4 linked regions of the Danio rerio genome follow. The protein of the gene in region 4 purifies or fractionates together with the protein of the main gene of each other region. This does not show direct contact. Links are inferred from orthologs where the notes say so. Each region holds a gene or a part of one and is shown on either strand. Other genes may lie near its edges. The genes, in order: exosc10, hbs1l, mphosph6 and exosc4.

Evidence for each region.
Region 1: the proteins of exosc4 (region 4) and exosc10 purify together in Homo sapiens (affinity purification with mass spectrometry; 9 studies listed by BioGRID and IntAct, with this or other methods). This does not show direct contact. The link is inferred for Danio rerio from reciprocal best matches to the Homo sapiens genes EXOSC4 and EXOSC10.
Region 2: the proteins of exosc4 (region 4) and hbs1l purify together in Homo sapiens (affinity purification with mass spectrometry; 3 studies listed by BioGRID and IntAct, with this or other methods). This does not show direct contact. The link is inferred for Danio rerio from reciprocal best matches to the Homo sapiens genes EXOSC4 and HBS1L.
Region 3: the proteins of exosc4 (region 4) and mphosph6 purify together in Homo sapiens (affinity purification with mass spectrometry; 7 studies listed by BioGRID and IntAct, with this or other methods). This does not show direct contact. The link is inferred for Danio rerio from reciprocal best matches to the Homo sapiens genes EXOSC4 and MPHOSPH6.

What each region holds. Positions count from the first base shown.
Region 1 is NC_133198.1:16,321,391-16,329,659, forward strand, and holds part of exosc10 (exosome complex component 10), read left to right. Parts: intron 1-716; coding exon 717-825; intron 826-930; coding exon 931-1,006; intron 1,007-2,616; coding exon 2,617-2,727; intron 2,728-2,807; coding exon 2,808-2,951; intron 2,952-4,430; coding exon 4,431-4,621; intron 4,622-6,650; coding exon 6,651-6,807; intron 6,808-7,634; coding exon 7,635-7,783; exon of another isoform or gene 7,784-8,099; intron 8,100-8,181; coding exon 8,182-8,232; intron 8,233-8,269. UniProt on the Homo sapiens protein: Catalytic component of the RNA exosome complex which has 3'->5' exoribonuclease activity and participates in a multitude of cellular RNA processing and degradation events.
Region 2 is NC_133198.1:34,709,220-34,716,697, reverse strand, and holds the end of hbs1l (HBS1-like protein), read left to right. Parts: intron 1-2,446; coding exon 2,447-2,537; intron 2,538-2,712; coding exon 2,713-2,821; intron 2,822-2,945; coding exon 2,946-3,046; intron 3,047-5,177; coding exon 5,178-5,322; intron 5,323-5,413; coding exon 5,414-5,425; 3' UTR 5,426-6,782; downstream 6,783-7,478. UniProt on the Homo sapiens protein: GTPase component of the Pelota-HBS1L complex, a complex that recognizes stalled ribosomes and triggers the No-Go Decay (NGD) pathway.
Region 3 is NC_133200.1:38,536,814-38,544,590, reverse strand, and holds the end of mphosph6 (M-phase phosphoprotein 6), read left to right. Parts: 5' UTR 1-91; coding exon 92-142; intron 143-771; coding exon 772-884; exon of another isoform or gene 885-2,122; intron 2,123-3,314; exon of another isoform or gene 3,315-3,366; coding exon of another isoform or gene 3,367-3,413; coding exon 3,414-3,504; intron 3,505-3,859; coding exon 3,860-3,969; intron 3,970-4,665; coding exon 4,666-4,807; 3' UTR 4,808-5,506; downstream 5,507-7,777. Other genes in the region: hsd17b2 (17-beta-hydroxysteroid dehydrogenase type 2), read right to left, coding at 7,079-7,425. UniProt on the Homo sapiens protein: RNA-binding protein that associates with the RNA exosome complex. Involved in the 3'-processing of the 7S pre-RNA to the mature 5.8S rRNA and play a role in recruiting the RNA exosome complex to pre-rRNA; this function may include C1D.
Region 4 is NC_133177.1:2,084,968-2,093,546, reverse strand, and holds exosc4 (exosome complex component RRP41), read right to left. Parts: upstream 8,484-8,579; 5' UTR 8,429-8,483; coding exon 8,258-8,428; intron 6,158-8,257; coding exon 5,951-6,157; intron 3,362-5,950; coding exon 3,002-3,361; 3' UTR 2,174-3,001; downstream 1-2,173. Other genes in the region: bcl10 (B-cell lymphoma/leukemia 10), read right to left, coding at 553-603. UniProt on the Homo sapiens protein: Non-catalytic component of the RNA exosome complex which has 3'->5' exoribonuclease activity and participates in a multitude of cellular RNA processing and degradation events.

The sequences.
Region 1 (8,269 bases), on a different chromosome or scaffold from region 4:
TACAACCCCTACTCCCTCTATTACCCCCACCACCTGCTATTCACTTTCGTACACTACAGTGCCCACCAGAATGTTGTCATAGGGCCCGTACTGGTCAGCGGCGCCCCGGCTTACTTGCTTAAACATCACTCATTCAGTAATTTTGATCTCTCAAGATTTGTTTTTAATATTTTTTTTAAAAGGCAGTAAATACTCTCTTTCATCCACCTGTTTTATGCTCATTTTGGTATATTGGTAGGATACATTTTTTAAGTCTTTAAAAAGACGGAAATGCATTTACAAAATAAATTTATCTTTAAAGTTATTTTAATTATATTTAAATAAGTGTGATGATAAACCAGCAGATTTGACCACATTTTAAATCATCTAAAATGTTGTTTTGGTCATTCTAAAATCCCTCAGCCAAAGTCTGTCATCTAAGTCTATTGGTATTATTAGTTCATTATGTTTTGTCTTTGTCTTGAGGCACAATTAATTTATTTTATAGAAAAAAATGCATTTCACTCTGTCTCACTCAATTGAAATAGTGTTTTATTAGCAAATTTATTTGGATGGAAACCTAGCTAATGTAAGCTTACACATTCTTTAAACAACCATTGCAATGTTGTTTTGGATGATAAATATCGCACACCCCTAGGGAAAACTATAAAAATAAAAAGTAATGTATATTAAAAATAATAAAGCAAACACTAAACTCTAACCAAATGTGTGACCAGATTTTGCCGACAAGCACATTCGCAAGGAGAGGCCGGAGGATCTAGATGTCCCTGCTGCTCTGGCAGATTTTATTCATCAGCAGAGGACAAAAGAGCACGTGGACGACATGTAAGATGCGTTTAAGGGATTTATTCAATGCCTCTGTTACTTACCTTGCATCAGTGCTAATTTTGTTCTTCTTTGTAATAAATTAGTTGTAATGCTGTTTTCCAGGTTTTCCCACCCATATCAGTATGAATTGGACCATCTGGTCATGCCAGAGAATCTGAAGTGTAAACCTGAAGTCCAGGTCAAAGCCTTATTCAGCTTTTCTCCCCTGACATTTATGTTCTTTTAACACTGCAAAAAACTGTTTTTGTCTATTTTTAGTCCAAATATCTAAAAAGTCTTAAAATTAAGAAGCATTTTCTAGACAAACAGAACATATATTATATCATTTTTAAGAAATATTATGCCAAAATCAAGTGAGTTTTCCTTAAAACCAGGCAAATGAATCCACCAATGGCGTAAGCTAAATCATTTTGTTTTTGCTTTGAAATAATATTTTTTTCTGCTACCCATATAGGCAGATTATTTTGCTTGTTATAAGGAACAGTTCACTTAATTTTGGCATATTATGTCTTAAAGGAGTGGTCCAGAGTGTAATTTAAGCCTTGGTTGTGTTCATAAGATGCAAAGCAATGTGTGCTCATGTTTCCTTTGTAGATAATCACATAATTTTTTTTCGTGTATCTTACTTAAAATATATACTGCTACTCTGCTAACATGAAAACGACTATCATATTAATAGTTTCTCCACAAGAGGCTCTGATTGGTCATCTTACATAATGTGCTGTGTAAATGCTGTCAGTCAGTGTAGCTGTAAGCCATATCAGACAGGAGGATACAGCTGAACCCCATCCCTGCTCCAAAATAAAACCTGAAAACTGTCTTTCATATATATATTCAGATTATGTGAATGTTTAAGTAATATGAAATGTTCACATATCTCGTGAGATGTAGTATGCACGGAAAGCGGCCGCATAGAGAGACCCTGCAGCGCAGCTGAAGTTTGTGGGTGTTTACAGCGGTTTGATGGATAAATATGAATTTGTAGCTAAATTGTTAGTAGTGCCAATCAGCATTTTCCGTAGTTTACATCCTTGTTTATGTTATTGCTACATTGTACTGTTTACGCTAGAAACTGTGCATGTAATAGATTAATTTTAACAAATAAAAACACAGGTTTTGGCTCAGTCCATAGCTTTTGCTATTATGGCTGGAGCTGTTTCTTTAAGGAGTTTTAAGCCGAATCCATCACTGAACTGGGAGAGATTCTTGAAGCTGTCCTTTGTCAAATGCTAGCTATATATTTTTTATGATTCTCTGGAACATGATTAAAATTAAACTGTAAGCACTTCTCTCTTTGTGTCATGTCATTTAGAAGCCTAAACACAGAAACAGAACAAGCTTTGCGGAAATAACAGTGTTTGGACAGCATTTTAGCTTTCTCCGCTATAACATTACAACACCTCTGGCCATGCCCCTTCACTGCACGGGGTGTGTGTAACCTAAAGGGTTTAAGATCTCATTAAACCAGAAGTATTTTTTGTAATCCCCAAACTTTGTTTGCTGTAGACTTTGCTAAGCTAACTCTGTAAAAGCCAATGTCTTTCTTTATATTGAACTTTGAGCATATTACATTTAGGGATGTTGTTTATGCTCACACAGTTACATTACACATCAACTAAAGTTTAAAATATTATATTGTAGTAGACCATCCCTTTAAAGCAAGACAATATGTTTTACTTGTCTTGAAAATGCTTCTTGGTTTAATCGTTTTTAGATATTTGAACTAGAAACAAGGCAAAAAAGCATTTTTGTTTGCAGTGAAATAATTGTGTTTTCTTTGTGTTTTAGATGTATAAACCTATTGACGAAACCCCTTGTCAGTTTATCAGTACTTTAGAAGACCTCGTTGCTTTGAATGAGAAATTGGCCAAGACCACTGAGTTCGCTGTGGATCTGGAGGTATGGGAAATTTCTATGATGCTGTTTAGTCTTCTGGATTACTTGTTCTTTTTTAATTTGCCCAAATTCTTTGTCCACAGCATCATTCCTACAGAAGCTTTCTGGGAATCACATGTTTGATGCAGATTTCCACACGAGAGGAGGATTTCATCATAGACACGCTAGAGCTACGCAGCGAGATGTACATCTTAAACGAGACTTTCACAGACCCTGCTATTGTGAAGGTGATGGACTTATAATATTACGCTTTTCTTTTTAAAGTTACTATAAGATCTGTACATGTTGATGACAGTTTTCATTAAAAGTTTTTTGTTCATTAATAACTTTCAGGATTTACTAAAGACATGCAGTTAAAGATCAGGAATTACAAGCAATAGACAATTTTTTTGGTGACCATATGCATTGTGTTTTTTAAGTCAGTTTTTTTTTTCAGCCAGAATATGGAAAGAGAGCATTCAAATGAATGATGAAGCAGTTTATTAAAGGCATAGCTCATCTAAAACTAAAAATTCTGCCATCATTTACTTGCACGCTTCACTTGTGACACCTGTTTTAGTTTTTTCTTCTGCTGAACACAAGTTGATATTTTAAAAATGTTGGAAACCTTTAACCATTGACTTCCACAGTTTAGTTTTTTGGTGCTATTTATTTTCTTCTTTCCTTTTATGTCCACTTAATTGTGATGTTAGGAGTTGCGCATATGGATCCATTACCAAGCCACATTACTTTTATATATGCTAGTCTTAGTAGATTGATGTTCATTGTGGAAAAGAGCTGCCACATCTATTAGTACTGGACACATAACAACACCGCTATATCCATGGAACACGAAATTGCAGACTCTTTGAACGAGGAAATAATTCACAGCCCAGACGGCCTGTTAATTTAATATTAGCTGGAACACCTGAAGGATGGTTACAGCGTGTTGCAATGTCAGCTGTCCAAAAGTCTACTTTAGAAAGTCAACTTTTTCTTTAATTTTTTGGACTTGTTTGAAAGCTTTTCGAAGTGGCAGTGTAGTTGTTTACATTGCATTAGCAAGGCAGCTACTGATGGGATTTGTGTAATGTTTCAAAAAGCTTTGTTGCAGTGGAAAATGAAATCGTATTCGTGCTGTCTGGCCCGGTTTGGCACGGAATGGAACAGTTCAGCATAAAAAACAATTCAGAATGATAGTGGAAAAGTTGCTTTTGTTTAGAATAATTGCATCGATCGGTGTGCACTCACTTAATATAACACACTCACAGCAATACTGTAATACCAATTGGTAAGTGTGATCGCAAGTAATATTGACTTTATCTAACAGTTCATTTCATGCTCAACATTGTCAATTTTTCTGTGTAGCTAATGAAAATGTTTCCAAAAGACCCTGGAGCTAAATATTTGGGTGCCTCAGAGCAACACCACATTGTTTGTCATATTCCTCAATGATTAATTTTGAACAAATTATCTGAGTCCATGATCACTCAGTAAGCCCGAGATTTGTTGCAACCTATTGGCAATTGAAGTATCATTTATTTAACACATTCGATGAATCATAATTTAATTATAAAAAAAAAATATCAAGATAATACTTTTGCCAGTATTCCACACAAACACCTATGCCGGTGCTCTTTAATTTCCGCATTGTGAGTGTCCATCCACTTTCATTCTCCTTAGTATAATAAATGTGTCACTATATTGTGAATACCTTGTTTCTGCAGGTGTTTCATGGGGCCGACTCTGATATTGAGTGGCTGCAGAAGGACTTTGGGCTTTATGTGGTCAACATGTTTGACACTCATCATGCTGCACGCTGTCTTAACCTCGGCCGCAACTCTCTTGATCATCTCCTGAAAGTATACTGTGACGTGAGCTCTGATAAACGCTACCAGCTGGCAGACTGGAGGATACGGTACATGCAACTCATTATGATCAGCACGATACACTTCCTATTTTATTTTTGCAAGTAATTTATGCGAAACTAAGTTTACGCCGTTTCTGTTTGTTTGATGTAAAAAAAAAAAAAAAAAAAAAAAAAAACTTTTAGATTGCATAAGTTTTTGCATTTAGGTATGGCAAATGAAATAGTCAACAAATCAAGAAAATAATTCTTAAAAATCTATTCGTATCTTCTCTAATTTGTAAATGGGGATTTGTTTGGATGCCAAAATGTGTCAGATGCCAAAACAACCTTTATAAAAAATGATTTCCACTTGGAATTATGATATTCTATCTTAAAGCATTAATTGATACATAATTTGATATTTGCAAATGTTACAATAATTAAGATATTTTTGTGTGGACATAAAAGGATTGTTGTAACAGTATATCAACATATTAAATAAATTAGCACTACATTTAACTTTGCATGTTTTATGACTATTTTTAACATTGTTTAAGTTCAGTTTAAAAAGACAGTGCTAAATATTTTGTCCAGTGAAGATGTTTTTTTTAGTAGACATATGGTGGGTTATTAAACACTTTATGAAACTGTTAATATAATTTTCCTGTGATACTGTAATATTTCTCTAGAGGTCAGTATAGCTAAAATAATGTGCTAACATTTATAGTTCTTATTAAGACCCCATTAATTCAACTGGGTAGAGTTGCACCAGCTGTTCAAAAAATCTTTCTTAAACTGGAACGTAAAGTCCACACTAGGGGCTTAGTAACTACTAGCTAGTTTGCAACTAAATTTTTTCTTACTTTGGTTGCACCACTTGTTCTCAAGGTAAACCGTAGTTAGGTCATTTGCTCTCTGTAAAGTCATGCGTAGTCGCATTGAATGACGTAATATCCAATAGAAAGCATTTAAATCGTTAAACTGCATAATTCGGCAACTAATGCATCTATATAGAACTTTTCTATGAAAATGAAATGACATTACATTTTTATAGTAAATTACAGTCAGTCATTAATAACAGGTTATGCATATACCTGAATGCACGCGAAATACACATGAAGTTTTTTATATTCTTCACATGAAAGAGAAAAGAGCAGGAAGAATGACTCGGTCATGAGGTTTTTGTTTCAACTGATGGATACAACAAACACAAAAGACTCCTTAAAAGAAAATTAAACTCTTCTTTCACAAACAAAAAAAAAGTGTGAGATTTGGGAAGAAATGAAGGCTGTGAGTAGAGGGAGGTCATTCTGCATTATCATCGCGAGCTCCTCTATGTAAACTAATATCGTCTCTTTTCTACTGTTAAACAAGGGGGAGGCTGCTGTAAATATTTAGTTGAAACGTAGCGCTATGTTTAAAGTAAGTTCAGTAGTGCAACACACAAATATTTAGTAGTGCATAAATTGTAACTTGGTGTCCCTTTAAGTCACAAATAGGCTACGTTTTAACTTGCGCATTGCTGGTGCAACAGGCCCCTGACTGTTTTACAGCTAAGTCTTAATATTGTTGAGTTAAAAACGACAAGAAAGTTAATTACATTTTTAATCGAAATTGATAATTTTTATATAGTCAGCAGCTCTGTTTTTGCTAGTAATGGAAAATGCAACTTTGTTTCTATTAAATCTTAATGGCACAAAATGCCTTTAAATCTTATTAATAGACTATTATTTTCAAAGAGTAAGATGTTTATGAGCTGCATTTAAAATTGTAGATAATCTCCACAAAGCTGAGTGCTTAATTTCTGCATCTTTTGGTTCAAAAAAAGCACTTTTCATTGTTTTCAAGCTCACTATAGTTCTCTCCACTGGCTAATTTCAATTTTAAACACACACTAAAAGTAATAGCAATCATTTTGGCCTTTAGATAACCCTGTTTGGTGGTCCTTTTATGTGCATTCAGAGTGCTGATAGGCTCATGAAAATAACCTTAGTCAAGTTAGAGTTTGATTTTTGTACAGAGGTACATGTTGTTTTTTTTAAATAAAAATTTGAACACCACATAATGACAGAATTAAGTGTATGTATTATGCCTGTAGGCCGTTGCCAGATGAGATGTTGAAGTATGCTCAGGCTGACACTCACTACCTGCTGTACGTGTATGATCGGGTCAGAGCAGATCTGTTTGATGGGGGCAACGGGCAGGCCACCCTCATTCAGCAGGTCTGGACTAAAAGCAGAGACCTTTCGCTCAAGGTATGGACACATTTCAACATAAACTTAAAGTGCCTCGTTATGCTTTTCCTGGTATTACTCTTCAAGTAATGTTCATTTAAATTAAAAATCAAATAAAGTGTTTTTAGTGTAAACATTTGTCATTTCTATTCATTTATTTTGTATTCTCCTAATAAAATAGTAAGCTATGTAATATGTTTGAACTGTTAATATTCAGCTTTCCACATAAATAACACGTATAACATCACATCCATCCATCCAAAATAACAAATCAAAATAACAAAAGTCATAATGAAGGACATAATGTAACATGCGAGGATGTAATGTTTTTTTATATATTAATATTGACATGAAATTGCCACCAGTTGCTGATATGGCAATAAAGAAACAAATTTAAACTTTATGTAAAGTTCAGAGTCATATGTGCAGAAATAGCTAATTACAAAAGCTAAATAATCATAGATTATGGTCGGTAAGTGGTCAACAAATCTCAACAGACTGGCTCATTTAACCAATCAGAGCAGGAAACACTATGAGAAAGGCAGGGTGTAACAAGAACGGACCTATGAGGCTATTATTCCAGACACTGTGAGATAAGAGTCAATGCTTTTCTGACATTATGAGAATTTTTTTTTTTTTTTTTTTACTTAGAATTAAAGCCATTAAATAAGATTAATAAAAGTAGTATTTCTAAAATGGCATAATAAAGGCTCTTTAAATACACCAAATAAACCCCATTTCAAATATTCTCTATTAAACACTTTGAATCGGTTCAGATGAATCTGTTCAAAGATACAGGTTCAAAATGGTGTTTTCTGAATATTGTGTCTTTCAACCATTTTCTTTAGAAATATGTGAAGCCTATTTTTACGGAGGACTCATACATGGAGTTGTACCGCAAGCAGAAGAAGAGCTTTAACACACAGCAGCTGGCAGCCTTCAGACTGATGTACGCCTGGAGAGACAAACTGGCCCGAGAAGAAGACGAGAGCACTGGGTAATGGCCAAACCTCACTCAGTGCATGGCACTACCGACCAGGGCATCTGATTTATGAATTTAACAGCCTTCCTAAAAGTAAATGTACAACAGGTTAAATTTAAATGAATTATGATTTATATATATATATATGTATATATATATATATGTACATATATATATATATATATATATATATATATATATATATATATATATATATATATATATATATATATATATATATATATATATATATATGTATATTTTTATTATTTATATATATTTTTTTGTGGCTTATTTAAGTGAAATATGTTTACTTGGCTTACTTCGTTTTGTGCGCAAGCCACATTTCTAAATAAGACCACAGGATATTTTGTTTCATTGACTTGAGCCTTAAATGTGTTCCTGCTCCTCAGGTACATCTTACCAAACCACATGATGATGAAAATTGCAGATGAGCTTCCAAAGTAAGTTTTTAAAGTGGGCAAAATACATATTTAAACT
Region 2 (7,478 bases), on a different chromosome or scaffold from region 4:
TCTGGTGCTTTCGTGAAAGACCAGTCGTGTGAAAGAAGAAATGGATGTTAATCATAGAGCATGCAAAATATACACTCACCGGCCACTTTATTAGGTGCACCTTACTGGACCTGGGTTGGATTCCTTTTTACCCTCAGAACTGCCTTTATCCTTTGTGGCATAGATTCAACAAGGTTTCTGGAATTATTCCGTAGAGATTTTGGTCCATATTGGCATGATAGCATCACACAGTTCGTGCAGATTTGTCGGCTGCACATTCATGCGGTGAATTTCCCATTCCACCATGTCCCTAAGGTGCTCTATTGGATTACTATCTGGTGATTGAGGAGGCCATTTGAGTACAGTAAACTCCTTGTCATGTTCAAAAAACCAGTCTGAGATGATGGTAAGATGGGTACATACTGTGGTCATAAAGGGATGGACATGGTCAGCAACAATATTCACTGGCTATGGCGTTGACCCAAAGTGGTTATTTGAGTTACTGTTGGCTGTCTATCAGCTGGAACCAGTCTGGCCATTCTCCTCTGACCTCTGGCATCAACAAGGCATTTGCTCCCACAGAACTGCAGCTTATTGAATATTTTCTCTTTTTTAGATGATTTTCTGTAAACCCTAGAGATGGTTGTGCTTGAAAATCCCAGTAGATCAGCAGTTTCTGAAAAACTCAGACCAGCCCGTCTGGCAACAACAATCATGCTACATTCAAAATCATTTGCTGCCATGTGATTGACTGATTAAAAATTTGCATTAACGAGCAGTTGGAAGTGGCCGGTGAGTGTATATGGCCAGTGTACATGTTTATCTGTTTAATGCACTGAATAACTTAATAAAAAATATTTTTTTTTTAATTTAGCACACTGATTTTTGCTAATTGAAAACAGATACATATTATTAAACATCTCTGTGGAACAATATAGTAACACATGGCACATGGGTAACTGATTGTAATAATTAATATATATGTTAATTAATATATGTTAGTAAAATATGTGCTATAAAATAAATATTCAAAAATAAGATTTGTATTAAAATATTTATATATATTTTACAATTTTATTTTTATAATTTAACGTGAATTAAATAAATGCTTTTTATATTAATATTTGTAATGGTGTAATAGTTAAACTCACACACATTATACAGTTGAAGTCAGAATTATTAGCCCCTCTTTGAATTTTTTTTTCTTTTTTAAATATTTCCCAAATGATGCTTAACAAAGCACGGAAATTTTTACTGTATGTCTGATAATATTTTTTCTTCTGGAGAAAGTCTTATTAGTTTTATTTTTGCTAGAATAAAAGCTGTTTTTTATTTTTTTAAAACATTTTTGGGACAAAATTATTAGCCCCTTTAGGCTATATTTTTTTTCTCAATAGTCTACAGAACAAACCACCATTATACAATAACTTGCCTAATTACCCTAACCTGCCTAGTTAACCTGATTAACCTTGTTAAGCCTTTAAATGTCACTTTAAGCTGTATAGAAGTGTCTTGAAAAATATCTAGTAAAATATTATTTACTGTCATCATGGCAAAGATAAAATTAATCAGTTATTAGAAATGATTTATTAAAACTATTATGTTTAGAAATGTGTTGAAAAAAATCTCTCCATTAAACAGAAATTGGGGGAAAAAATAATCAATCAAATATCATCATAAAAAAATTATTGTAAAAAAGAGTTATTAGTTACTGAAATCTAGTTGAGACAGATTCGCAATAATGACTGAATCTTTTAACAAATTTTGTTACTCGCTTTTTTCTTTTTATTTCTCTCCTACTAAGATTGCAAAACTAACGTTATGACACAGTCTTTATAAACTTTAGGACTAAATAAAAAGTCATTGCAGTAGTTTTTATATTGCTTAGTTTTGTTGTTCTGGAAATTGAGGAAATATACTGTGTAGTTAATCATGAATAATCAATACTTAAAAAAATACTTAAATCGATACATATTAAATTTAAGAATTTAACATATTAATTTCAACTAGATTCTCTTGGAATCTTAAAACCAGAATAATAAACTGGTAACACTTTATAATAAGCTTATTAAGGTGTTTTTGTTTGTGCAATTAAACAAACAATATGCAATACATTACATTTCTTACATTCATCTTTGTTGATGTTAGTTAATGAAAATAAAGCTGTTTTTTGTTAAGCTGTTTGTTAGAACTCATGTTAAGAAGTGTGCATTTGGAATTAATAATGCATTGTTGATTAATAAATGCTCTGTGTTGTTCAGTGTTAGTTCATGTTAGTAAATACTTCACATTAGTTAATGAAACCTTAATGCAAAATTTAAATAAGTGTTTATTGAGCACCAGATTAAAAAAATATAAATATGATTTATGATGGATTTTGTAACGCTAAAGGCTAGAGTGGTGCTACACTCATTTTTGGTTATTTTTTTTTATTAATGCAATCTTAATGGATTGTAATTCTATCTAGGGATCAGTCTTCATGATGAAGCATTAGACTGGGCAGCGGCTGGTGATCATGTCAGTCTGACTGTAACAGGCATGGACATCATCAAAATAAAGTGAGTGTGTGTAGAAACACTAGCGTCGAAAGCAATCCCTTCCTTAACGTATATTATAACAGTTCGGTTATATAATGTTTTGATTATGTAATGTTGCGTAATACATGATTAAAAACTTTCTACGGACACGGTTGATTCTGTGTAATCATGTATGTTTTCTTGCTTCTTTCTCTAGTGTTGGATGTGTATTCTGTGATCCCAAAGAGCCCATTAGAGCCTGCACGCGATTCAGAGCAAGAATCCTCCTCTTTAATATTGAACTTCCCATCACTCAAGGCTTCCCCGTGAGAAAACATTTCATCTCTCAGGCTTTTTAGATATAAATATCTTTGCATGTTTCTTGTGGGTTCTTGTGCAAGTGTGTTTGCTAATATTTGTGTATTTGGTGTGTGTGTGTCTGATTGGCAGGTCCTGTTGCATTATCAGACTGTAAGTGAACCGGCCACCATTAGGAAGTTAGTCAGTGTATTACACAAGAGCAGTGGAGAAGTTCTCAAGAAAAAACCAAAGTAAGTGGACGGATGATTCTAGAATCTAAAATGTTACATGATTTTAAGGAACAGTTTCTTTTTAAAGGGTTTTTAACAGCGCAGAAAAATGACATTGTGCATATGTATATCATATTGTGGAGAAGCCAACGCTACATATGTATTTTTTTTTGTATCATGCCGCTTGGTTTTTCCATGCATGCCTTTTGCAGCAGAAAGTTGTGACTTGTGGCCAAGAATGGTTAACTATACTCAGAATTTGAACACACAAACGCCTGGGAAGTAGTTGAGGATTCTGTGCATTGCTCAAGGGAATCACCTCAACCATGGGATTAAGGGTGGTGAGATTGCTGGGTATTTACTCCCAGCACCTTCAGTCTTCACAATTAATAAGCTTTCTATCAAAGGGGGCTTTCGTGTGATAACCACATACATTTAAGCCATTGTTTGTTGAAATACCTTTTTTTCCCGCAGTACCTTTAAAATCGCATTTACACTTCCACGTTACATAACAATGAAAATGTAAAACGTTTCAAAACAAAAACAAAAAAACACATCAGACAAATTTTGGACAAATCAGGTAGTGCAGCAACTTCAGAGCACTTGTGCAAGCTGCTCATACATCATATTCACAATGCAATTATTCTGCATGGGTATAGTAAGGAAGTTTAACAATGGACCCTTTTCACATTTCCGGGTTTCTCAGTAGCAGAATTTGTCATAGTTGGGTAAACTTAAGGTGCATTGAATGGGAGAGTACAGCAAACATATATTTTTTTACAATCCTATTTGCTGAAATAACAAAATAAAAAACTCAACAATGGTGTTATCAAGACTTTCAGAAAACGGAAATAAAATCGGTGAGACCTAAAATGTCAAATTTACTCTCCTGCCCCATTCACTCTGCATAACAAACGCCTCACACAAGTGGTAATTTGTTTTCTGTAATTTGATTCAAAGATGATATAATACATATAAATCTACATACTTTTCTTTTTAATTAAATATTAAAACTTTAGAGGATTTTAGATGCTAATGACGGTTAAATGCATCATAACAGTCTTGTGAAAAAGGGTCCATAATTACAAATTACAGTTATATTATTTAGGGCTTATCTTTTTAAAATGTATCCCATGATTTAGTGGTGTAATGGATCACAAATCTCACTGTTCGCATTAGATCATTTATCATTCACGTTGCGTGGATTTGAATTAAAATCACGATCTTTTAAATTTAATAGTGCAGCTTAAACTGAATGCATTAATGCAGGCTAAAGAAGTGTCAGAAAACACCTTTAATTAATAACCTAAGAAAGCATTTAGGTAGGTCCCACCACAACTTTTTCAGTCATCATTATATTTTACAGGGATGCCATTGTTTTCATACACGTAATTTGAATGACGCTGGGGGCGATCGCTCTGCCATAGTTATAAATGTTGGATCAACTTACAAAAAAATTAAAAATGTTAATGCTCAGGTCACGTATGTTTCGAACTTTGTGTCAACCTTAATTCGTTACAGCCCTACCATGATTTAATTTCTTCAAACAAAATGCATGTTTCTAGTTTACTTTCTATGAACCTTCCTGTTATCAGTTGAAAGCAGATAGGTTCATCTTGTTTAAACTTTATCTTTTGAGGTGCAGTTTTTGGTGCATTAGCAACATCAGGACTGCACTTTTCTGTCTCTTGAGTGTGAAATGTATGCACAGTTAAAATGAATGCTGAAGCACCTTGAAGAGAGTCAGACTATATACAGTATTGTCCTGCTGGTGGCACTAATGCACCAAAAAAAATTATGGAATAATTAACATTTTTGAATGAACTAACCCTTTAACTGGCATCACGGTGGTGCAGTGGGTGGCCTCACAGCAAGAAGGTTGCTGCTTCGAGCCCCATGTTTGCGTGGGTTTTCCCCACAGTCCAAAGACATGCACTATAGGTGAATTGGGGAAGCTGTCCCTAGTGTATGTGTGTGAATGAAAGTGTACGGGTGTTTCCCAGTGATGGGTTGCAGCTGGAAGGGCATCCACTGTGTAAAACATATGCTGGATGAGTTGGTTGATCATTCCGCTGTGGCACACCTTGATTAATAAAGGGACTAAGCTGAAAAGAAAATGAATGAATGAACTAACCCTTTAACTGTCGTGCAGGTGTTTGAGTAAAGGACAGAATGCAGTGGTGGAGATTCAGACACAGAGACCTGTGGCTATGGAGCTTTATAAGGACTATAAAGAACTGGGGCGGTTCATGCTGAGATACGTGGGCTCCACCATCGCTGCAGGAGTGGTCACAGAGGTAAAACTAAAACACCAAATTGTTAAAAGCGTACTTGATTGTACATCGTAAGATGTGATGCTTGTTAATGCCAATGTTTGTATTGTTCTAGATCAAAGAGTAAGAGCCTGTTGGAACTGGATCCTTCAGATTGTACTGACAGAAACCATCAGACTGAAGTGCAATTTCTCCCTCAAAACGTACACAAACATGAAGTGAATACACAAAGATGCCCAGCAGGCAAGCTAACAGTGAATCTAGCCTCAGCTCACGTTACATTTCACAGGCCTCGGGAGGGGAGAGTGAATGTTGGTGTTTGTTTTCTTGTAGTCATTTTTGTCTTGTTTTCAGTACAAATAAAAAAAGCATTCTTAAATCATTATGCAGTTGTTTGAGAGGCAAATTATTAAAGTTCTGAAAGATCTGTCACAATTTTGTTTGTTAAAAACATCTGCCACTAAAATCTAAATAATAAACAAGGGATTTTTCTGATCAACCCCACGTTAATATTTCCTTTGTTTTTGAAGCTTAAAGTAATTTTATTTTGTTACGTTTTAAAAAAATAAACATTACTCTCAATAAATATATCTTGATTTAAGTATGTTTAGATGTTTGTACTGGCAAACAAGACTAAAAAAAAATGAAAAAGAAAATATCTTTTGATAAGTGTAAGGGAGAGAATGCTCTTTGTCTTCCTCCTCATCTTTGCAATAACAACTATAGTAATTAATCCCAAAATTCGGAATTATTTACATTCAAACCCATTTAACAACATATAAAACCACAATGTTTACCTTTAATTTACATTAGGTTGCTTCCTTTTGTTGATTTGCATCAGAAATGGAACTCTTTTAATTTTATTACTTGATATTTTATTTGGATTTTTGGCTATAATATAGCAGCACATAATTGCCATTTATATTTATTCTTCCTCCAAATAAGAGGTTTCAAGGTTAATTAGCAGAAATGGAACAGGACAGTGTGAATGAAACCTTCCCTTCAGTTTGCTGCTACTTTGTGTTTTCTTGATCATTAATGCGTCAGGGGAAAACAGGAGGATTGAAAACCAGGGAACAATTGGATATGCCGTGTATGCGGGAGAAACTCATCTGTGTGTCTGTAGTCAAACAGTAGTCACTTTAAGGACCTGATGGACACGACTCATCTGTTTTGACTTGATTATTAAGGGGTTTTAATTTAAGAGTTTTGTTTGGGTGTGTCGAAGCTGAAGATGTCTGATCCGGGGAACGCTACATCATGCGAAAAATAACAAATAAATATTGATCACTGTGGAAAACATCATTCTGTGTGTTGTTGGGCCAATAAACAAATACCTATTATTTATTGATTTTTTTTTATATTTATTTTGCCTTTTCGGAGAGTGTTTATTGTTAGACTCTAACAAAAGCATTTTCTATGCACTGTTAAACTCAACATTCAACTTTATCAAATGAAATAAAATGAGTGCAGTTAACTCAAAATTAACTGTAAGTTAATTCTACTCATTTGAAAAGAGTTTTGAACTCAGTGTTGAAGGTAATGAGTTAATTAAATACCTCATTACTTGAATGTAGTAAGTTCACAGTACTCGTATAGATTAGTTTTTTAACTTAAATGTTTTTTTTTCACCCTATTTGCATGCAATGGACAAACAGTTGCAGCCAAATTAAACTTTAGTGACAAGGCAGCACTAACAATCCAGTTTACTCTTCTAAGTGCCTTGCACGCTGGCCCTGGGTGTTCAAGGTGAACTTATTGTCAAGCCCTGATATTGTACACAAATATCACTTAAAACAAAGAAAGGGAACACACCCAAAAATCTAATTATTTTACTTTTTCTTTTTTTTTTCAAGTGTAAACCAATTGCCTTAAAATCAACAAGTTAACTTTAAAAAAGTGATTAAACCTGTTGTAATCTGAAACAGTTAGGTTAACTTGACCTTATTTTTTTATAGTTAAGCACATAGTTCATTTGCTTAATAATTTTAGGACAACAGTTTTTCTAAAAATAAATTCAGAATTTAAAGTAAATTGTTAACTCTGTCAGATAAAAAAAATGCAATTTCCTTTTGTCCTGATGCTGAATACCATCCATTCCACTGATGTTTTATGAAAACTATTCAAACTCGAGCTATTCAGTGTAATATGCGACTGGGGGAAACCAAGTAATTTTCCAC
Region 3 (7,777 bases), on a different chromosome or scaffold from region 4:
TGCTGCCAGTGTGGAAGACATAACTGTCAGAAAAGCTCGCTTTATCTCTCTTCATTCACTTAAAAACGTGTAGTGTTAGTTCTGATTTGAAATGGCGAACGATGGTGGAGCGAAGCTGTCTAAAAACCTCCTGCGGATGAAGGTAAATAATGTTAGCCGACTCTCCCAGTGTCGGAGGAATATGATGAGCTCGTGATTGGGATCGTACTAAAATGTCCTCGTGTTTGAGGTCGGTTTTGTTTTGATATGAACTGAATGCTGTAGATCACTCGCTGCAGAACACGTGACTGATAGACAACAGTCTGTCTCTGTGTGTGTCTGTTCATCTGTGTCTCTGTCCATTATTTTATCCGCCATATTGTATATCCCATTCGTTCTGTCCATTTTTTTCATCCCTCTGTCTTTATACTTGTCTGTCTTACCATCTGCCTTGTTGTCTTACTTTTCATGTTTGTTTACCTCGTCCTTTGGTCTTTCAATAAATCTCTATTTCCATCTTATTTTTTTTATCTGTCTCTCTTTCTGTCCATCTTTTCTTCCATCTGTCTTGTCATTTGGTCTGTTCTTGTCTTTCTGTCTGCCCATCATTTTTATCTACCTCCATGTGTCATTTTATGTCAACGTCTTTCTTCTGTTTATCTGTCTGTCTATCTTTTAATCTGTTTTTCATCTGTCTGATAATCTGTTTTTGTCTGCGTCCATCTGCTTGTCATTTGGTGTCTGCATCTTTTTTCCATCTGTCTGTCCATCTTCTCATCTGTCTGTCTGTAGTTCATGCAGAGAGGATTGGATGCGGAGGTGAAGAAGCAGCTGGATGAGGAGGAGAAGCGGATCATCAGTGATGAACACTGGTTTCTGGATCTGCCCGAGCTCAAGGCCAAAGAGTGAGACTTCAACAACTGTTTTTTTTACTCTTATCACGGTGCTTGTACACCCAATGAATGAAATAGTGTATGACAACAAATATCTGTGGAAACCCATTTCTGGTGCATAAAAAAGCCTCAATCAAAAACATCAAACCAATACCTAATTATACTAATACTCAATTAAAGGGGCAGTTCACACTGAAATTAAAATTGTCATCATTTACTGCACTTTGATTTATTCCAAATCAAAACAATTTATATTTCTTTCAGCACAAAATAAGATATTTAGAATAAAGCTGAAAACCTGTAACCAGGAAAAACAAATACTATGAAAGTCAATAGTTACCAGTTTGCAACACGCTTTAAAACATTTTCTTTAGTGCAGTTAAAAATTATTTAATCCCAAAGGTTTAGAATATTGACCAAAAGCAAGCAAACAAATAAATAAAATTCAGACATTTCCAATATGTTATATCTAGATCAATGGATCCAAAACCACCAGTAGGTGGCGACAAATACCTGACTGATTCAATAGTGTTTCTTCCCATACTGATAAACTTCCGGTGAACAGTTAATGTGACTTATTTCTAAGGGTGTCACGATCCTAAAGATTCTAAAGGCACGATTCGATTTTCGATTATGAATGATTAATTAATGACCAATTAATTATTTGTAGCCTACCGTTTAAACTACCTGACCTGCATGGTCTTTGTTTTACCCATAAACAAATCATACAGTAAATGAATAAAGGCAAGATGCACACATAATTACCTCCTGTCAATCACTTTTTCTGCGGGACTCGTGAATAGGCAGTGATCTGTGTCATTATAATGGCGTCTGTAAAAAAGACGCACAACCAACAGGAACCAGCCAACAGTGTCTGAGGTGTTCGCTAAAATGACAAAGTACAAGTGAGTGAAAGATTGAAGCAGTCCTCTGACTGCCTGGACCTGCTGTCTCGAGCGCATGGCTGTGTGTGCATCTGTGTCTGTGTGGTCACGTGATGTGCGTTTTCAGAGGTAATGAGGAAGGAGGGCTGCTCAGAAATGCTACACGCCACTGTGGATGTCAAATCGTTGTTGTTCTAAAATGCCATTTAAAAACAAAGACAGTGTAAACAGGGCCTGAGTGTGAACTTTTCGCGAGCGGATTTGCAACGGGGGCGGGCGGAGGATCGCGATGCTGGTGTTGTCTATCGGACGAACCATACGTAATACGTATATAGCAGAGCTTGCAAAACTGTGTTTTTTTTTTTTGTCGACAACACGAACGTTGTCAACATAACTCACTGGAAATCCAAAATGCTTAAACACCGGCGACTTCATTGAAAGAGGAGAGGGTTTAAGCTCTGTCGACGGGTCTCCTGCTTCTGCAGTTTAACAAGCACTTCAACAAGCCTGTTTTTTTCCCGCTTGGCAAGCCAAGCTGACGTGACATCGGGGCGTGGCAGCATCGACGATTCTATTTTGTAATTCGATAATCGAAATTGAGCATAAATTTCGATCGATTTCGATTAAGAATCGAAATCGTGACACCCCTACTTATTTCCATTCCTTTTACAGCATCTATGTTGTACTGCAAATAAAATACAATCAGTTAAATAGACCCAAGCATTTATTTAGTTGATCAAGCGCAAAACGAGATCAAAAGTTGTTTACTCGCACACGTCAGAATCAGCAGGCTAGCGCAGAAGCTCCATTTAACATACTGGGGTAAAATAAATGCTCATATTATAAAGACACGACGGGGGAAATGTAAATTAATGTAGTGTTTCTTGTACAATCTGAGACCCGCTTATATCGTATATCAATTAGGCATTGAAGATGGTTGATTTTTAAAGAAAACAGGCCTTTTTGTAACTGCATACAGTAGGACTGTGCGATAAATCGAATCACAATTTGAAATGTTGCGATTAGCTTATCACAAGAGGCTGCGATATGACATAGATTTGTATTTAATTTCCCACGCCCCGAGCAAATGCATGACTGCAGTCTGCGTGTGACAAGTCTTACAAGCCAATTAAGTGTGCACGCTTTCATCCTGCCCAATCAGAATTGCACTGCCGGATTATGGGGAACGCCCACAATAAAACAAACAAACAGATGAGTGGGATGATGGCGTCTTCCGCATTAATAGACTAAATATTATTAAAGAAAAAAACGCACGTCAGTGATATGGGAATATTTTGTTCACAGACACCAAACAAAAAAAGGTTATTTGTAAGAGCTGCCGCAGGATTGTTGCAGGCATGAGGAAATACAACCAGTACCTAAAATGTCTACAATATTAAATTGCAAATCAAATCTAAATATCTGTTAAAAAAATTTTGCAATTAAGATATTTTCCCCAAATTGCACAGCCCTAGCATACAGCGTTTGAACCAGGACACTTTAAAATGAAAGTCCTAATGCATGTACCCCATTAAAAATGATTCTAGTTCTAATGCAGTCTGACATTAGCAAATATTCGTTGCCTTATGGATATCTGATGGTTTATCAAAATGTCTCTTAAATTGACAAAATTACAAGGTATTTTTAACTTTGCCAGAAACCACATCATCGAGGAGAGAAGTTTCGTTCCCTGTGAGGATCTGGTTTACGGCAGAATGTCATTCAAAGGCTTCAATCCTGACGTGGAGGTACAGCTTTCATCCGTTTACAGCCGTTTGCTTCCGTTTTGTTAACTGTTCTCAATTATTGTGTTCACGTTATTGGAGCATAATCTGAAGAATAAGCTAAAGGCACAATATGTATGATTTTATTTGTATTAACATATTCAAAAGCCACTTGAACAGTTTATTATATCTTTATTTTTCACTCAGTCATCAAAACACACCTTTGTTTGTTGTGAATACACGCCCTCTAGTGGCTAAATTTACATACTGTGCCTTTAACAATGAGCTGAAAATGCACGTCTTGCTCTAATTATAGCCACTGATAGCCACCTGTAATCTAAAGTGGGGTTTATTCATCACAAGTCTGAATCTGTTGCAGAAATTAATGTTACTAATGAACGCACCAAGAGAGGAAGAGGATGAAGAAGAGGAGGACGAGAGCATGAACAAAATGGAAACCGATATTACGGATGAAGAGATGGCCAAAAGGTGAGCAAGGACAAATACATCTGTAATCTACACATCTGTTATATATATATACGAGGATAGTGATGAAATGAAGCGTCTAAACAATTTTACCAATTACTTCGCTAAAGCAATTCGAAACCGCACATGCTAGAAACCCCTGCTGGTCAACACTCAAACAAAAGATGCATTAGAATTGACTCCCAAACATATTAAAATTGAAAGTTTAACCTATAAATAAACTTGGCTCGTCATCTAAGATCATTAAATGTTAAGTCTCTGCATAATGTTCTTTCATTTAGATGTTTTCAAGGCTTATATATTGCTTGTTAAACTGCTAAACAGGCCAGGAGGAGACTATTAGCTACTTTTAACCATTACTCCTTTTCATTTTATACACATCTCCTTAAAATATTTAACAAAATTTGTAAAACTAATCCGAGATCAATCAGTGAAACCTGTTCAGTGATTGGCCACTGGGGGGCGACCTGAATGAATCTGCGTGATTCTTGTAGATTTTATATTGCACAGATCGCCCCCTTGTGGGGAAGCAATTTCGAAACCATATTGACCATAACGAAGCTCAATTTGAATGAAATCCTGTGACCTTGCCAATTGGAAATGCGCACCGAAACCACTGGTTCGAAACAAAATTGTAATGGTTTCGAATGTGGACATCACCAGCAGATGAAAACCTTGATTTTTGCTTTTGTTTTACAGGTATCAAAGTTTGGTTGAGAGCATGAGGAAAAAGTTCGCCAAGAAAAGAGATCGCAGTGCTGTCTCAAACAAAGAGGATGTCAACTGCAACGTCACTGATGATATTAGACCCAAACGAGCTTTCATGAAGCCACAGGACTGAGACATTTTAAATCTGTAAATGCTTTATTTTTTATGCAATGGACTTCTTTTTTTATTAGTAGTATTTTTTTCTGTTTGGTAACAACAAATGCATTGTTAAAAGACTGTCTTTTATGGGAAAAGCACTAGTGGATGGTGCACTAAGGGGTTTTTTGACAATTAAATGTACCATCGTTGAAAAGCGTAGTAGATCCTGACCAGAGTTTCTTAACCAATTCTTTAAAAAATGATGTGTAGAACTTCCATGTTGTTTTTAAATAATCATTAAGAGAGAATCACATTAATGACACTTAACCAATATGCTGTTTAGACGATATGCTGTAGAGTGAAATCTGCTCTCTCACAGAAACAATATATTCATGAGTCAGAAAGTCAGATTGATGAGATTGTGTTGGAAATGTTAAAAAAAGGTTATTCATAGTGTAAAAAAGACTGCAGAACTTACTATAGCATAATTCAACATTCGAACAGTTATTTAATATTGACATTGCACGACTATCTGGGGTCAAAATCCATTGCTGCTGTGTTCACATTGTATAATGGATCAGTGACAGGAAATTACGCACAGCATGACTTTACAACAGGGAAAAAAAAACGCTGATAACTCTTTCTCCCCAATCACCCCAATGACATACAGTGCATTTAGACAATATTGATAGCGCTTTTTCCACTTTTTATGTCACAGCCTTATGCAAAAATGAATTAAATCAATTTATTTCCTCAACATTCTACTCACAATCCCCCAGAATGACAATGTGAAAAAGTTTTTAAAATTGTTGCAAATTTATTGAAAATAAAAAAGCTGTAAAATCACGTGTACATCAGTATTCACAGCCTTTCGCTGAACCTCGGCCATGTAAGCTGAGTGATCGGGGGAGAATGGCCTTAGTCAGGGAGGTGATCAATAACCCGATGGTCACTCTGTCTGAGCTCCAGCGTTCTTCTGTGGAGAGAAGAGAACCTTACAGAAGGACAACTATCTGTGCAGCAATCCACCAATCAGGCCTGTATGGTAGAGTGACCAGACGGAAGACACTCCCCGCCTGGAGTTTACCAATGTGAAGGACTCTCAGAGCATCAGAAACTAAACTCTCTGCTCTGAGACTAAAATTGAACGTCATGCTGTGGGGATGTGTTTCAGCAGCAGGAACTGGAAGACTAGTCAGGATAGAGGGAAAGATGAATGCAGCGATGTACAGAGACATCCTGAATGAAGACCTGCAGAGTGCTCTTGACTGTGGTGACGGTTCATCTTCCAGCAGGATAGTGACCCAAAGCACACCGCCAAAATATCAATGGAGCGGCTTCACAACAACTCCGTGAATCTCCTTGAGTGGCCCAGCCAGAGCCCAGACATAAATCCTATTGAACATCTCTGGAGAGATCTGAAAATGGCTGTACACCGTCACTTCCCATCCAACCTGATAGAGCTTGAGAGATACTGCAAAGGGGAATGGAAAATTCCCAAAGACAGGTGTGCAGAGCTTGTGGCGTCATATTCAGAAAGACTTGAGGCTGTAATCACTGCTAAATGGGCATCAACAAAGTATTGAGCAAAGGCTGTGAATACTGATGTACATCTGAATTTTCAGCTTTTTATTTTTAATAAATTTACAACAATTTCAAAAACTCTCACATTGTCATGATGGGGGATTGTGTGTAGAATGTTGAGGAAATCAATTTAATCTATTTTGGAATAAGGCTGTGATATAAGCATGTGGAAAAAGTGAAGCGCTATCAATCCTCTCTGGATGCACTGTATATAAGTGGCTGTAGGTCCATATCTCCTCCCCAAATATCCCTCTACCCTAAATCTCGCTTGTTTCCTTTTTTTCAGTCAGAATTAATATAATGCAGTCGGCGCCGGTAGCCTAGTGGTGCTGTGCGCTGACATATAGCACCAGTGTGCTCGTGGCGACCCGGGTTCGATTCCCGTCTCGGGGTCCTTTGCCGATCCTTTTCCTCTCTGCTCCCAGTGCTTTCCTGTCTGAATTCTCTACTGTCCTATCAAAAATAAAGGTGAAAAACCCCTAAAAAATCATTATAAAAAAAAAAGAATGAATATAATGCAGCAGGAATCTCAGATTATGCCTCTGATAATTCACACTGTGATCATTATAAGCTCTAATGTGCCTCAGATTTCAGCCGATTGTCTGTGATTTCACTGAAGCCATCAGCGAATAAACAGCATTTCATACGTTTGCATTTCCAACCCCTCCTAAAAGATCCCTATCAAGTACACGACTGTGCGAAACGCCTAAAAGCCGCCCGTTTAATGTGGAATCGCTGTGGCGAGTTTTGCAGGCTGGACGCCGCTCATAAACATCCCGGAGAAGATTTTATCGGACAGTGCCGTCGGACAGTATCTGTACAGTAAAGACAGCACCCACGCTCCGGCCCCGGGGTAGTAGAAGTGTTTCGGGTTGGAGGACAGTATCGCGTGCTTTAAAGACTGCAGAAACGGCCCCTTGTCTTCACTTGATGCTAAAGACATATCCAGCAGCCGCTTCTGCATGGAGTGAATGTATTCTTCACCATACGAGTCCTTCACCTCTTCTGATAAACCACTGAGGATCTGCTCCTGAGCGCGCTCCCACTGCTCGCTGCTGCCCAGGATATCTGCAAACGTCAGCCAGGTTGACTTTAGTGTAGTGGTTAATAAATTATGACTAGATAAATGGGTCATAACTCACCCCAAATCAATAGGTTTGTTACGGTTTTATACAGAAACGGTTACAGCTACAATATAGACCTTTTTCTTGGAACGCATAATTACCCATGATGCTTTGCGTGTATGCGCAAGGAGAATGCGAAGAACTTCCGGTCGGCAGCTGATGCGTGTAAACGGTCACATTTGGACAGCTTTGAAACGATAGTTTTAATCTATTTTATCTGCTTTTATCCTCTTTGAACTAATACTGTTGTCCATCAGCAGCATCTCCTGGACTGATCATTTAAAGAAATGCGATCT
Region 4 (8,579 bases):
ATCAATATTGAACTCATAAGCTGTTATAAATACTGTAGTATACGTTAGCAGTGTGTTATTAGTGTTACATTAGTATTGTAAGCTACTATTATGTGTAAACTGTATAGTTGTATGTATTACAGTATTGTGACATGTTTATACTGTTGTATTACCATAACAACAACAAAATTACCACAACAGATTAATTCAAGTAACGTTAGCCTACTTTAGCATTGTTCATAAACACTAATATTTGCCAGAATTAAGTTAGTCCACTGTAGTATGTTTTAATGTGGGTTTATTTAATCTCGTAGACCAATATGATTAATATGCTCGTCTTAGGTACTTCATAAAGCAGTTCACACTCTAATAAAGTGAAGTCGGAGTATAAAAACTTGACGAACTCATTTGGAAATCATTTGCTTTCAGGTTTTTACACCTGATAAACGTTTGGTTGCATCGATCAGGTTTGTGGTCAGTGCCCCTCAGCGCTTTCACTTCTACTTTTACGAAGGCATTATCTGATTAATAGATTCTCGATTTCATTAACGCGTTTTGTTTCGTTTTACTCACTTCCTTCTTTATATCGGCCATTTCGTCCTCCGTCAGGTGAGTAACATCCATCCTCTCTTTTCGTTTTGTTGTTTTTCACTACTGTTCAGTTTTTAACTCGTTCCGGTAAGAAAACGGTGCTTCAAATTCCACATCGGCGACCAGAAATCAGCCAAAATGTCCAGACACGAACTTGTTAGCACACGTTGGATCCACTCGTAGTTCTCATATAGTAAAGGGGAACTACCGGCGCTTTAACTTCCTTATTGATAGCCTACATACTTTCTGTGAATGACGCCATAACCCAGCATCACGTCATCATTTTACAGGGGAGAACTTGTAAAATTTGTAAATTATGTAATATTTTCCTTTAATTTGTGATGATGTATATACCCCTACATGTGTTTTCCAATTTAATTCTTTTTACTGTATTGGGATTGTATTTGTGCATTTTTCATACTCTGATAAAATAGTTGGGTTAAAAATACCCCAACATTAAACCCAACTATGGGGTATTTTAACTCAATGCATTGGGTTATTTTAAATACATGTTTTTTTTTCATTCTGGTATTACTCTATTACTATTACTACTATTAATTTTATAATTATGATAGTGTAAATAAATAAATGTCTCCGCTGGGTGCTAAAGACAACAATATTATTGCGTTAAGAGCTTAAATAAACTTTAGAATGCAAAAACAACATTAAGCGCACATATTAATACAGCTGTTCTGTGTCAGTTAAATCAGTTGACTGTTGAAATTAAAAATTCTAACCCAACTGGTTGAGTTATGATATAAATAACCCAACAAAGTACATACTATTTAACCCAACTGGTTGAGTTACTATTAAATAACATAATAAAGGTTAAAAATAACCCAACAAAGCACATACTATTTAACCCAACTGGTTGAGTTACTAATAAATAACATAATAAAGGTTAAAATAACCCAACAAAGCACCAAATATGTTTAACTTAATTATTGGGTTAAATAAATAACTCAACGTTTTTTTAGAGTGTAACATTTGAAACAAAGTTATATCTGAAATGTAAACTGTAAACTTAAAATTGTACAAAAAGCATTTACAAGCTGTGATACTTGCCAAAGGCGGCAGTTCAAGATATTATAATCAACAAAAAAACGTTCTGAGAAGGTTCTCTTTTGGTTATAAAATAGATCCCAAAATTAACCTACAATGAACGTTCTGGGAAGGTTCTCTCAAGGTTATGAAAAAAACCTAAATAAAACCTAGAGGGAATGTTCTGGGAAGGTTCTCTGTAGGTAATAAATTAACCATTGAAAATAGCCTGCAGAGAACGTTCTGGGAAGGTTATATTTTGGTTACCAAAAAAAAAAAAAAAACCTACAGAGAACGTTCCCAGAATGTTTTTTTTTTTATTTTCTGTTATTTTGAAAGTGTAAATGATGGAAATAAAGTTTAACTTTTTTGACACATTAAAAAAATGTCTAATCTGTAATTTAAAGCCTTTTGGAGATTTTTCCATCTTGTCGTGGCTTCTTTATGCACATTAATTCAAATTTTTACCTGGGGCGCCCAAACTTTCGATCCCCACTGTTTATTAGGAGTACTAAATCTGATTAAATAATGGTTAATTTGATAAAACACAAAAGGAAAAGTGTTCATTTGTTAAAAACATACCATTGTTTTATTACAACTCTCTCACAACAGAGGACATTATTATAACAAAATGTGTTCAGCGCTTTTTAGGTGGCATTTCTTCTGGATAAGCTGATATATAAACTTATTTTTTTCTGTGTCTATCAATTCTGTGTGTTTTTCAGTCCAAGCGCATGCTTCAGACACTAAAATGAAGAATAAATGACTAAAGCATTTCCTATGGAGTCAGATCAGTCTCAAAAATAATACATTTATGAAATGATATTCATACATGCATAGCGCAATTCACATTTATAAAATTAAGTTCGTAAATTCAAAACACAATTCATAAATACAACACACAGTTTATAGATTCACAAGTAAAAATCATAAATATTTTCGCCAAATGAACTGGATTTGTGTATTTTTTAATTATATTTAAACTTGTGAATTATATTTTGTAAATGTGTTATTTCTGAGACTGATCTAACTCCATACATGTCGATCAAATCTGTTTTTTTTTTTCAGTCCAAGCGCATGCTTCAAAGATTAAATGAATAACAAATTAATAGAGCATTTCCTATGGAGTCAGATCAGTCTCAAAAATAATTAATTTACTAAAAGTTCATACATCACAATTCACAATTACATAATCCAATTCATAAAATCAAAACACTATTCATAAACGCAACACACAGTTCATGAATTCACCAGTGAATATCATATATAATATTTTCACCAAATGAATTGGATTTGTGTATTTCTGAATCATATTTAAGCAAATTATATTTTGTAAATGTATTATTTTTGACACTGATCTGACTCCATAGATGTCCATTAAATCTCCATCTCAATCTCTGGTCAGATCTGAAACCTCCTCTAGATGCTGCCGTACGACACTGTCTAGAACTTTACTGAACTCTTTGCACGCCGTCATGGCCGCCTCCATCAGTGTGTCCAGGTGGTCCTGATGGAGCCGGGCGTCCATTTGCAACAGGGCAATATTTCCACTACGAGGCAGCAAAGCCAGAGCCAGCGCTGTTCCTCCACCGCTCTCCTCTGCATGACACAGATCTGCCAGCGGGGTGTCCTCCACAAACCCAGCGCTGCACGCACACACATAATCGCGCATGGGGATCCCAGCGTCCACTAGAGCCAATGTAGCAGCATTGACACACGCGCTGTAGTTTCCACCGTCCGCCTGCAGGATCTACAGCGCAGGACAAATCAAAGACATGGTGCTGTTGTAGTCAGTTACATGTAATGTGAATTGTAATAGTATTTAAAGTGTCTTTGGAATCTTGTCATGTACTGCAACTGTAATAATATGAGTTATAGTTTGATCTGGCTCTTACGTTCAACAGAAAAAATTATCACAATAATTTAAAGCCAATATGCATGCATGGATGGATGGATTGATGGATTGTGGGTGGATGGCTGGGTAATTGGGTGGAGGACGAATGGATAGTTGGGTGGATCCTTGGATGGAGTCGGTGGGTGGATGGATGGATAGTTGCATTTATGAATGGATAGTTGGGTGGGTGCAGGAATAGCGTTGGGTAGATGGATAGATAGTTGGGTGGGTGCGTGGATGGATGGATAGTTGCATGAATGGATTGATAGTTGGGTGGGTGCATGAATAGCGTTGGGTAGATAGATGGATAGTTGGGTGCGTGGATGGATGGTTGGACGGATGGGTAGTTGGGTGGATGAATGCAAAGATAGATGGATGCATGTATGTTGGATAGTTGGGTGGGTCCATGGTAGAGTTGAGTGGGTGGTTGGATTGATAGTTGGGTGGATGGATGGATGAATGTATAGTTGGGTGGTTGGATGTATAGTTGGGTGGGTGCATGAATGGAGTTGGATGGGTGAATGGATAGGGAGTAGGTGTGTGGATGGATAGTTCGGTGGATGGATGCAGAGATGGATGGATGAATGGGTAGTTGAATGGATAGACGAATGGGTAGTTGGGTGGATAGATGGATGGATAGTTGGGTGGGTGCATGGATGGAGTTAGTTGGTTGTTGGGATGGATAGTTGGGTGGATGGATGGATGAATAGTCGGGTGGATAAATGGATGAATAGTCGGATGGATGAATAGTCAGATGGATGGATGGATAGTTGGATGTATGGATAGTTGGGTGGGTGCACAAATGGATTTGGGTTGGTGGATAGTTGGATAGTTGGGTGGGTGCATGAATAGAGTTAGGTGGGTGGATGGATGAATAATTGGGTGTGTGGATGGATGGGTAGTTAGGTGGATGAATGCAGGATGCATGTATGATGGATAGTTGGGTGGGTCCATGGATGGAGTTGAGTGGGTGGTTGGATGTATAGTTGGGTGGTTGGATGTATAGTTGGGTGGGTGCATGAATGGAGTTGGATGGGTGAATGGATAGTTGGGTGGGTGTATGGATGGATAGTTGGGTGGATGGATGCAGAGATGGATGGATGGATGGATGGGTAGTTGAATGGATAGTTGGGTGGATAGATGGATGGATAGTTGGGTGGGTGCATGGATGGATAGTTGGGTGGGTGCACAAATGAATTTGGGTTGGTGGATAGTTGGATAGTTGGGTGCATGAATAGAGTTAGGTGGGTGGATGGATGAATAATTGGGTGCGTGGATGGATGGATAGATGGATAGTTGGGTATGTGGATGGATAGGAAGGTGGGTGTATGCTGGATGGAAAGATAGTTGGATGGGTGCATGGATGGAGTTAGGTGGTTGGTGGGATGGAAAGTTGGTGGTTGGATGGATGAATAGTCGGATGGATGATGGATAGTCAGATGGAGGATGGAAAGTCGGATGGATGAATAGTTGGGTGGGTGCATGAATGGAGTTGGGTGGGTAGACGGATGGATAACTGGGTGCGTGGATGGATAGTTGGGTGGATGGATAGATAGATGGATAGTTGGGTACGTGGATGGATGGGTAGGTGGGTGTATGCTGGATGAATGAATAGTTGGGGAATGCATAGATGGATGGACTGTTGGGTGGGTAAATGCATGGATGGATAATTAATTGGGTGGATGAATGGTTGGATCGATAGTTGGGTGGGTGGATGAGTTGATTGACAGTGGGGTGTATACATGGATGGATGGATATTTATGTGGATGCATGGACAGTTGGGTGGATGAATGGTTGGATCGACTGTTGGGTGGATGGATGCATGAATGGATTGTTGGGTGGGTGGATGGACTGTTGGGTGGGTAGATGAAGGGTAGGATTGATAGCTTGGTGATTTTATGGTTGGGTGGGTGGATGGATGAATGGATAGATAGTTGGGCGGATGCATGAAGGGATGGATAACTGGGTGGATGCATGGATTGATGGCTGAATAAATGCATGGATTGATAGTGGTGTGGGTGGATGGATGAATTTCCAGATAGAATCCAGGGAGGATGTATGGTTGGACATATGACCAACTGAGCAGATGGATGAGTGGATGAACAGATGAAGGCTTGGACGGATGTGCTTGAATGATGATGGACGGATCGATTCATGCATGGATCACTGGATGTTAAGATGTGTACAAATATGTGAATTAACTTATGCATGGATGGATGCACAGATGGATGCATGTGTGGATGATTTGGTATACGTTTTTAAAAACATCCAAAGTGCACTCAGTATCAATATACAATATGATTTACGGTGATGGATGAATGAAAGCACAGATGCATGGGGGCATTTAAGAATAGATCAACGACTGATGCAGAGATTGGTGGATGCAAAATTGGGCAGGTGAGTGGATGGATGATAAACGGCATGAACGTAAAGAAGTCCATGTACCTTGACGTAGATGTCGATTTGTGAGCGTGGGTAGAGCTCAGTGAGCACCGCAGCCTCAAAGGTCTGTTTGAGGTGGAGGCTCATCTCGCTGGACTTCCGGTCTCCGTGTGGACGTCTCTTCCTCTCCGCCGTGCTGAACGTGGCCATGCTGTACTGACAGTTGATGATGGCGCGATCATGCAAGGATTTACTGCGAGAGCCTCGAATCTACAGGGACAAAGATGAACTCCAACATGTTATTCAGTTAAACGATGATAAAATATTGGATGTTACACATAACCGACACGTTGGACAACGTTACTGCAGAGATTCTGGCCTGAGTGTTTTGTAATAATTATTGTCTATTATTCACAGCACCATTTTAATCAATTATATTAGACAGTTTAACTAATTAAGAATTATATTATTATATTGAATCCACGAATACTTAAAAACATACGGAAATGTGTTGTTCTTGTTTTAATTTATTTTAAAAATAATAACAAATGAGATCCCACTGACATTCTGACCACTGACAGAGAAAATATTCCCAGTTTCATATATAGTCCTGCTGAAAAATCCAGCTTGAACCAGCCTAGGATAAAGTGCTAATAATTTTGACTTCAACTGATAATCGTTTTGAATAATCGTGATTACAATTATGACCAAAATAATCGTGATTATGATTTTTTCCAAAATCGAGCAGCCCTAGCTAAGACCAGGCTGGAAATGGCTGGAAGTGGCCAAAAACCCACTAAAACCAGCCTGGTCGACCAGTTAAATCCAGCCAACCATCCTAGGCTGGTTTAAGCTGGATTTTTCAGCAGGGTATACAGTTATTGGTTAAATACATCATAATACATTCTGATGATGTCTGTGAGATTTATGTGTTTTTTGCAATGACTGTAAAAAATATGGACGACGCGACAGCCCTTTTTCCCATTGAACGCCTTGAGGGCAAAACGCCTGCTTGACGGGCACAAACTGTCGCAAAAGACTGCTGAAATTGGAGCCAGACATGCGCAGAAGGACTGTCTGATGGAGCCAGAGGAGGAGCCGCGAAAATGAGCGGAGTCGAGCTTCCAACCAAACGCTTTATGTAAAATCAACCACGCCCCCCGAACTGCTCAGCGTGCGTTTGCTGTCATATCAACACAAATGGATGTAATAACGTTAACAAATATGAGGGTTTTATATATTCAATCGCGCCAGCTCCAGGCCGCAACACATAACTTACTCGCGGCGTCGCGGGCTGATTCCGGCTCACATGCGGCAGCGCCGGCTCGCTCGGCCGCCGCATCTGGCTCGATTGACTCGGGCTGGAATTGGGTAGTGAGTCCAGGCATCCGGAGTAGGTCCAGCAGAGGTAACATTAGTCAGTCTGAGCTCTAAGAGATAAGTCTCCGGCAGGCGAGAATCTAGCCGGAACTGTGTTTTGCTATCTGGGTGGCTAGGCGTGTATCAGCAAACTAATAAAGCCCGAAAAAAGCCCTGAACTTAGCGAATAAACAGTGTTCCACCAGGATCATGTATGTCAGAAACTGTAGTTTACTGCTGAACTCATTTTGTCACGGTAAAATAACACAGAAATCGAATAATAACATTTCAGTCTACTTCAGTCTCCTGCCGAAGCTCAGACGCGCTGCTTTGAGAAACTGTCAATCACAGCTGTCAATCACGATGACACGCCCAGCATTAAATTACTGCTAAAAACAAACTGTTTACAAAAATGAGGATCTGCACCTATTTCAGCACAATAACCAGTGCCTTAATCGACCAGAACTATCTTTCGGGACATTTTATTGCAAGTGTAATATTTTTTTTTTATTTGGGCTCAAGTCTCCTTCATTAACACGGAGGAGGCGGGCTTTATGACTTGTACTGCAGCCAGCCCCCAGGGGGCGATCTAACGGCCGAAACCTTCACTCAAAGGTAGGCTTGCGGCACACTTGGTTTTTTGTGTTACACTGTAAATTTTTTATACACGAAAAATAAGTTTATACAAACAATACCTATTTTTAATACTTTCCTTGTTGAAATTTCGTACAATATTGAATCTCTTAAGCTTATTAATAATAATAAGTTTCTTAAAGCTTATGACAATCTTTTTTCTTGATTGATGCTGTGTTTTTTATTTCTCTCTCTCCTTTCTTATTTTTTGTTATTGTATTTTTTCTTCAATGCAGTGATTTTATTATTCTTGTAACGTTATTCAATAAAAAAAGAGATTTATGTGTGTCGCATTTTATTATTAGCATGTCCTCATAATTCACCATATCATTGTAATACCTGTAACGTTATCATACCCAAGACATCACAAACACACACCTCATGTGGCCCATACACCACGGCCAGAGCTTTAGTGTTGCCCTGCTCCAGATAAGCAGACCCGTCGGCCTGCGCGAACACACTCATGCGGGCCTGCACCTTCCGCAGCTCGGTCGCTTTCCGTCCGTCAAGTCGGTAACCCTGATCCGACAGCAGCTCCAGACCCGCCATATCTCTCCGCTTCTTAACTGAAAACACGCGTGTGTGTGATGAACTTCTTCTTGTTGTTCCGCACAGGTCTTCTTCTGCTGTGGATTTTGCTTTCCTTGTGTATCTTCTACCGCCATCTGCTGGATTAATTTGAGTTCTCACTAATGCGAGT